2 linked regions of the Oryzias latipes genome follow. The protein of the gene in region 1 interacts with the protein of each later gene in a biochemical or structural test. Links are inferred from orthologs where the notes say so. Each region holds a gene or a part of one and is shown on either strand. Other genes may lie near its edges. The genes, in order: bmpr2 and bmp4.

Region 1 (3,819 bases):
CAAATATCCCAAATGCGTCTACAGCGGCTCCACAGAAACCAGAATCAGTCACATGACCCTATCTTCTGTTCTTAAGTAATGATTGTTGGTTCACGAATAAAAGTGATCTTTAAACTCCCCTGGAACTTGAAACTTCTAATTTTTGGAACACCCAATGAAAGCAGAGCCAACAAGACGACAGTAGTCCTAAAGGACATAGACATACAGACGATAGATTTGAGATTCATCAGCAGTCGACAACCTTCTTTGCTTTGTAAGAATCCCTGCTAGCCCTTTGACTCCTTGTACTCGTGTTTAGATTATTTTGGATTCTGTCATTGCTCAATGCCTGCACGAGACCGGCCTTACAGTCAGTCAAAACAGTCATTTGGCAGCCATTTGGCAAATGACTCCATTTCCCACCAGCCGCTTCACATCACGCACACCAGTTTCTGCCCGGGCACGTCGGACTCAGAAAAGAAATCCAATATTCCGGGACAATATGCACTGGGAGTTTTACAAGCTCTGATCAAAGGCGAATTCCTTTCTTTTTCACTCCGCCGTCGTCTGTCTGCACAGAGAGACGGTCGCCTGCGTGCCTGCAGACAGGCGGAGAGCAGACGCCGCGAAATCCCTGGAATGCAGAAAGACAATGTGCGTGCCGGAGAGTGTGTGTTTGTTTGCATGTCGGCAGGAGAAGCGAGACGAGCCGGCGTTTGCTACCAACCCTCACCCCCACCCTTCCCGCCACACATGCTGCTTTCATTCATCACTCAAAACGTGACAAACAATTAACAACACTCCTGTTACACACTCCTCGACTCTCCAAAACCACAACAGACAGGCAGCAACGCAAACCGCTTCCTGTTGGCTGTTGCGTCACAAGTAGGGAAGATAATCCAACCCGTACAATCCGTAAATTATTTCTTTCGTTCACTTATCCTTATTGTTTATCCTCAAAGTTAAATAAACATAGCAGAAGTGACATAAACATTCAATTTAATGTTTTTAAAGGGTCAAATCTAGCTTCCATCGCAGTTTTATTGGGAACCAAGCCTAAAACAGAACGAAGGCGCCACACAACAAGACAAAAGTGTGGGGCTGCTTACAGATGGGCTGCGCCGTGGTCGGACTGGGCGTCGGGAAGTCCTCTGTGAAATTTACATTGCACATGTCGCTGCCACAGCAACAGAAGTGGTATGTCCCATTCTGGATGAGAGGTGGCAGGTGGGTGACCACGCAGCGGTCCTCGCGGCAACCGTTGTGTTCGGCCAGATGACTCCAGCAGCCTGGGGGGGGGGGGAACAGAGGAAAAGCTTAGTTCCTTCCTGCTCCCATGATGCAATGCATATCACTTTTTTTTTTGTCTGGAAACTTATTTTTTACTGAGATGAATAGATAAAGGGAGTCTATTGTATTTTGACCAATGCACAGAGCAACACTATCTAAATATAGCTTGAAAACTTTATTCATAAAATAAAATAGGATTAAGTTAAATAAACTATTTAAAAAAACACAAGAGTTTTGATTTAGATTTTAAAAAAGAGCTTTGTGCAGGGAAAATTCTTGTTTTGAGTTTTTAAGCAACTTTAACAAAAATCACGAACTTTTTCTGTAGAAATGGCAGCTGAATACGTTTTTCCCCCACCTCCCTTTAGTTTAGATATTTATTTATGTACAAACTCAGGTCCAAGTATAAAAACCACATGCATACATAAAAGACAGTGTAACATAGACTAGTAAAATAAAATAAAATCACCAGTAAAGCACCATAAAGTAAGGAAATACTATAAACAATTTAGTGCTATAGGCATGATATATAGATATATAAGAATAAAGTTCATCTCATTGGAGGCTTTTTCACATGCAGTCTAATTAATCTTAGCGGTTTGTGGAATCCTGACACACAGAGCCTTTCATTTATCGGAATAGAGCTGTGAAACAAAAAGTCCAGAGCAAGATTCACGAGATTTGCACTGCTTTGACATATGACACCAAATCAAATCAAATCAAATCAAATCTTATTCATAAAAAGCGCTTCTCAGACATTGTGCAGCTCGAATCGCTTTACAATTAAAAAAGAAAACAGACATTGAGTACCGACAGTCCAGTATGGACACTATATGCTGTAGACGTAAGCTTGAACGCGCTTGATGTGACCGCGGCATACGGCGCAACAAATTATAGGCTACATTAGGCACAACAAAAAATTCATAGACATTTGTAGTATGACTGCAATACCCAAAATGCCTATAGGGGCCAAGTGGCTGGTAGTTACTAAAGGTAGTAGTAGTTTTAGCAGTAGATGACCACATTATGCATACATCTAATACAACTTGTGCCGGTATTCTCAAATGTACATCAAACAACTGAATGTTCTGAACTAAAATGTGTTTTTATCTGAACACAATCCAGACTTTTAGGACTAGAATACCTTGTTTGACCAGCCGCACTTCGCCGGGAGGACTCTTCTCCCACAACCCGAAGCAGTGGCTGCCCTTGGCACATCGGATGGTGGTGTTCTCTGGGGACACCCGGCCTTCGCCTTCGGCCACGCGCTTCACCTCCCCCTGCTGCTGTTGGTCTGTGAAGGCACACTCCCTCTCCTCGCCTTGCGCCGCTGTGAAGACAAGGAGAGTTGAACATTCAATTTTGAGAAATTTGGGTTGGATTTCACCAAAAGTTGGTGGTTAGGCATCGAAAGTAAACACAATTATTAATCATTTTAGAGTCTTATCCCAGCTGTTTTTTTCTAGTAAATCCTTGCAAAAGGCGAATGATCAGATTTCTGGGACTTGACTGTACAAACGAATAACCAGGTGGTGAAAACCAAAAAAAATTGCCAAGGAACATTGTAAGATGTTTTAGTGAGGGACCAAAACAAACAACAAAAAAAACAACTAAACTGGAGGAGAAAACAACTAGAGGTTTTCTTTCCAATGACTTTCAGAGCGGAATTTTAATTGACGTGGTACAGGATGTGTTGCGCAACAGGTTGTTTGCTGCTTCATTTGTCCAATTTCCTGGTACAAAGGGTAGTTTCTCTTAAAAATTCAGTGCAAAATATCAACATTTTACCATATTTAAGGCACTTTCGTTAGAAAAATCTAGATTTTGTTGTCAGCAGTGATGTCAGACTGAGAGGTGGATATGCCGATATGAGGGAAATTGGGTAAAAAAAAAAAAAAAAAAACTGCCGTTACACAAACAAAAAGATGTGTAGATGAAATTGTTATTTTACACCAGTTGGGTTTTTGTCACTTACATGCATTTTGTTTGTATCTGTGAATGCGCTCTGCTGCTAAAAACAGAGCCATTAATAATAAAAAGGCGGATACAAATACACTCATCCGCTGTACTCTGGCACGGCACAGACGCAGTGCCGCTGAGCCAACCCCAGGAAGAATGTGCAGATAAAAAAACAACGGTCCATCTGCAAACGCTGCTGCAGCTCACCAACCACAGGATCAATAGAAAAACCAATTTAGACTGGAGCCTGAAGGACGAAATGCTCGCAGAGAGAACAGAAAGGCTCCATTTCCTTACACATTCAAATGATTGACAACACTGCAAAGCTTTGCGTGATGCTGTCAGTAAAAACTGGAACCAGAGCCCAGAGTTGTTGATCTGATGTGAAGATCCGGGAAACGCAGGGTCGTGCCAGGAAGGAATCTTCTGAATGTCACTGTGTACACAGACGTGGGTCATTTCTGATAAGAGAAACACGATGTGCCACTCTGTTTTCCTGAGGTCTAGCTCCTCCCTTTCCTTCTCTGAGGAGGCGGAGCGCAGCGCTGCTTTTGCAGGGTGGAGGGCGGCCGACGCTTGCCCAAGGTCGAG
Region 2 (4,526 bases), on another chromosome or scaffold:
TTATCATTTCATTTGTCGCCCAAATTAAAGTAACTTTATTTCTTGTTGAAGTTGAGATTTTTTTTTTATTCTGCAGCTTTTTGAGTCCTAAATTCTGATTCAATTAATAAGTTCATAGCAATTATATTAGATAAATTGGTGCCTACTTAAATAAAACAGAAGGAAAAGACTACTCACCACTTTACTACTTCTAAGACATGTTTAACAAGCCTCGTCATACAGCTCTAATGGTTGAATTTGAACACGACACTTGGAGGGCTAAACGTTGCTGAATCACACTAATAAAATTACTGAGTTTCAGAGTGACCACGCCAACTGTAGGGCATCGTTTGTTGAGCTGGAGAGCACCCAAGCATTACAACGCAGAGGATGCATATTAGCAGTAAAAGAGAGTGAGGCCATAAAATATGGGTGTTTTACAGTGTGTGAGCATGCCCGGCTTGGTATCTGTGTGATTAACTCAGCCCCTCAATAGCTCACTGTACATGCAATCAAGGATCCCTTTTCCGAACAGCATTAGACTCTGACCTCAGCTTGACCCCCACCCCCTTTCTCGGTCATGACATTAGATCCAATGTGTGTGAAAAAGAAAGGCCCAAGGTGCAGGCGTGCGCACACACAAACGAATCGGCGCATCCATGTGTCGGTTCGCGTGCACGTGCCGCAGCTCGCGCATTCGTGAGAACTGTGGCAAAGAAGGGAGAGGAGGGTTCAGAACATGATCAGCTCGATTACCCATGGGGTGCTGCGATGTGTGTGTGTGTGTGCAAGTGAGTGTGTGAGCCTGTGCGTGAACATCTCTGACAACAAACGTTCATTGTACAGAGAGGGCCTCTCCCATGATTACAGGGATTCATAGCACTCAAAAACACTGACCAAACAGAATATCTTGTAACTGTAACCAGCCACTGACAGAGCTGCAGGCTACAGCAGACAGACACTCAAAGTGATGCGATGATGATGAAAGAAGATGCGAAGCAGACACTGGCCTGTTTTCAACTTTGGAGATAAAAATACATTTGAGTTTCCACTAAATCCTGTAAGTCCCATTCCCTCATCAGAATCCCAGAGAAGGCAAAGCAGAGCCCGCACATTAAGACGTTTTCAGAAAAGGCCTCAGTCTTTAAACTGAACAGCAGACAGGAACACTTTTTCCAAAAATGAAAATAAAAAAATGGAGACCAGAGCGGAATTAGGCCGCAGCAGTCAACTGCCTCTTCTTCTTTTTCTGTTTCTAACTGACCAGCGATAATGTGATCAGAGTTTGCACATGGCTCCTCAGATGTGTCTTCTAAGGAATTTGACAGTTGTGATAGAAAGAAATAGAAAGAAAGTTGGAGGGAAGCAGGTTGCCTTGGAAACAGACAAATCACCTGACCTTATCGTTTTATCTAGCAGCAAAAAAGTTCAGCGAGACAGTTCTAGTCTCTGAAGCTGGTGCTTGTAAGCACTGAAACAGCTATATGACAGCTGTCCCAGGAACCAGACTGTTTTTGTGATCAGTAATAAAAAATGGCTTGTTTGCTTTCTTCAAAATAAACCTAAACTTACCAGAGACTAAAGGAGTTTAAACAATCAGAAGGGCCTGCTGTTTTTCCTTCGCTCTTCTGAAAAATGCATTCACAGTCAGTGAGATCACTCCAAGCAAATTAACGGTTTTGTTGGCCTTATAGTTTTGTTGAAAGGCACAAAGGATGGTGTAAAAGATGAGCTGTGTGCCTGTTTTTCCTCTTCCTTAAATATTATGGCAAGTGATTTGACTGGCACTGAAATCAATCACTTAAACTGTTGCAAAATATGCATCATTTCTAAGGAGTCAGATCCTGGGTCAAAGATTTGCAAAAATGAGGAAAAAAAAGAGTGATTTAAGCACTAAATATGGCATACCATCTTCTTAATGTGCTTAAAAAAGGTCCCCATGCTCAAATTTGAAGGCTATAGGTTTCCTTAGAAATGCACAGAAATGTGTAAATGATGTGGCATGTGCCCCAAGTTGCATTTTTGTTGCAGTTTTGCAGCTTTATGGACGAAAACGACACAATGTGGCTTTAAATCAACAAACGCAGTGGTGAAAAAACATTTAAAACATGAGTTTTAATTTTATATAACAAAGAAAATGAACGTTTTTATTTTGTAGTTTGACAAATACCATAACTAGACAAAGTGGGACATGGTTTTACGCACAAATCAATATAAAGCTAAATGTCTTTTTTTTAACAGTTTAAATCACGTTGGACAAATCTGAAGAATCAATCGACCAGCGGTTTTACTCGTACCTGGGCGTCATGACGAAGAAGTAGGTGTTTAATTATTCAGACACTTTTTGGGACTTAATATAAAAAATAAATAAAAAAGCCACAAAACCCAGAGAAAATCAAATGTGTCTGCTGGTCCACAGAAAATGGAGCGCAACGAAATCGGACTCTCTGTTTGGAAATGACCTCACTATCCTGACATTGCTTAAGTCTAGGGCACCAAAAGCTGAGATCGCGGGGCTGGTGGTTGCGCGCTTTTATCTCACTTTGACGCGCCTTGCGCTCACGTTGTCCTAAAACTTAGGATTTTTCTTCTAAAACAAAAACTGAAGTGATGTGATCTGCTAGAAGCAAAATCATGACATAAGTTAAGAGTGGTGAAGCCAGACTCCTGAGCATGGTATTTCAAAGGTTTGCTCCATCTAAAGTGGCTCACTCATGCGCGACGGTGTCAGTGGATGAGCGCTTACCATCAGTAGAGGTACAGGTATCCTCAAATCAATAGGAAAAAAAAGAGATAATGAAAAGTGCTCCAGGCCTTACGCAGGAATAAACGCCCAAATGAGCCTAAATGAGAAACTTGGTGCGTTTTTTAGGCTCATTAATCCCTTCGTGGCACCTCCTCACGGAGCCGTGGACAATCGGCGCTCTGCGGCGGGGTTTCTATCAGCCTCCAGAACAGTCTGTATGGGCGGGCGGTGAGGAGGACGCACAAGACTTCGCAAATGATCAAACATCTCTGGTCCCTCGCAGTTTTTATTTCTCCGCCCTGCCTCCTCCTCCTCCTCCTCCGTCTCCGACCTCCCCATACACCTTGGATAACCCCCCTCCCCCCTCCCCGTTTGACATTCGCCCCCACTTTGAGCGCATACACCTCACTCATTTACCTGTTTTTTTTTTGTTTTGTTTTTTTGTTTGTTTCGCTTTTTTTTCTTAAACTTTTTGATTCATAGTTACAAAAAAACGACGCTGCTCTGAAGGGTTGAGCTCCAACAGTAAACTTCATTATTAAACTACTGGGGACAAAATTAATATTTTAGTTCAGACTAGTGAAACAACTTTACCTTCACCACGTTCTTGAATTATATAAGCTATAGTGTAAAATAATCTAACAATAAAAATTAATTAAATAAGGCTTTTTCCTGGTACTTGCTCTCTCACTTGGGTTATTTATTTATCCCATTCTGGGGTTTTTCCTGTTGGAATATATTTCTGGTTTACTGTTTTGGATCAAAACTAATGTTTTGGGTCATTATTTTAATGTTTTTTACTGATATTTTTTGTTATTTTCTGAATTAAAACAACCCAGAAAAAAGTTAGTCCCTTTTGAACCACGTTGTTAGGTTAAGAAAAAACCCAACTTGGTTTATTTTGAGCTATAATTTCTATATATATAATTTATAATTTATTTTAGTGCGTGTCTTAATGTCTGAATTGAGACTTAAAGAAGCCATCATTCGATAAACGTTTTATATTTATATTTATTGTTTGAAATTTTTATTTTTTTCATTTTTTTATTCATTCAAGTAAAAATAAAAATGATAGCAAAAAAATATCAGAAATGTCTGCTAGAGGCTTGTGTTCAAGGCTCTGAAAAAACTTATTTTTACTCAGCTTAAAGACTTTGAAGTGAAAATTAATGATGGTTGAACATCCACACACCTTAAATTATCTTCTTTTGTAATACCTCAATATTTAGATGGACAATTTAAAATCAAAGAGTCATTTATTTTATTTGTCTTGGCCTAAATGTGCTCTTCAGTCACACTGATTGGCTTTTCTTGGAACGTTCTTGTCCTCTGTGCTCTGGAGTTAATGCATTCTGGAACGTTCTTCGGGTCTCAAACGTTCGAGAACATAATTCCTGCATGACTCTTGTTACTGGGTCGGAACTGGTTTCATTTCATGTCAACACCATCAGTGAAGCCATCAAGGTTTCAGCAGAAACCCGTCACGCACACATTGTTTCTTTGTCAGATTTTACACAAGGGATATGCATGAAATTGTTGTTTCAATTACATTTTTTATCTTTCAAAATTCTAATAATTGCTGGTTAATGCGCGAACAAATGTTGCACCATAATAAATAACCAAATAAACAAGAATCTGCTAAATAAACACAGGGAGGCTCACTTACACACCTCTCAGTGTGGCTTTTGGAAAGTTTTTAATCCTCTTTAAATTGAAAGTTATAAAATTGTCGCAGTTGTTTTTCACAACATGTGAATGTCTTTTCAATGATCTGCACACATTGGCATGAAATTCAGAGTTC

The links.
Region 2: the proteins of bmpr2 (region 1) and bmp4 form a complex in vitro, tested with the Homo sapiens proteins (2 studies listed by BioGRID). The link is inferred for Oryzias latipes from reciprocal best matches to the Homo sapiens genes BMPR2 and BMP4.

What each region holds. Positions count from the first base shown.
Region 1 is NC_019860.2:15,312,596-15,316,414, reverse strand, and holds part of bmpr2 (bone morphogenetic protein receptor type-2), read right to left. Parts: intron 2,600-3,819; coding exon 2,414-2,599; intron 1,269-2,413; coding exon 1,089-1,268; intron 1-1,088. UniProt on the Homo sapiens protein: On ligand binding, forms a receptor complex consisting of two type II and two type I transmembrane serine/threonine kinases.
Region 2 is NC_019880.2:7,805,074-7,809,599, reverse strand, and holds the start of bmp4 (bone morphogenetic protein 4), read right to left. Parts: upstream 3,091-4,526; 5' UTR 2,726-3,090; intron 1-2,725.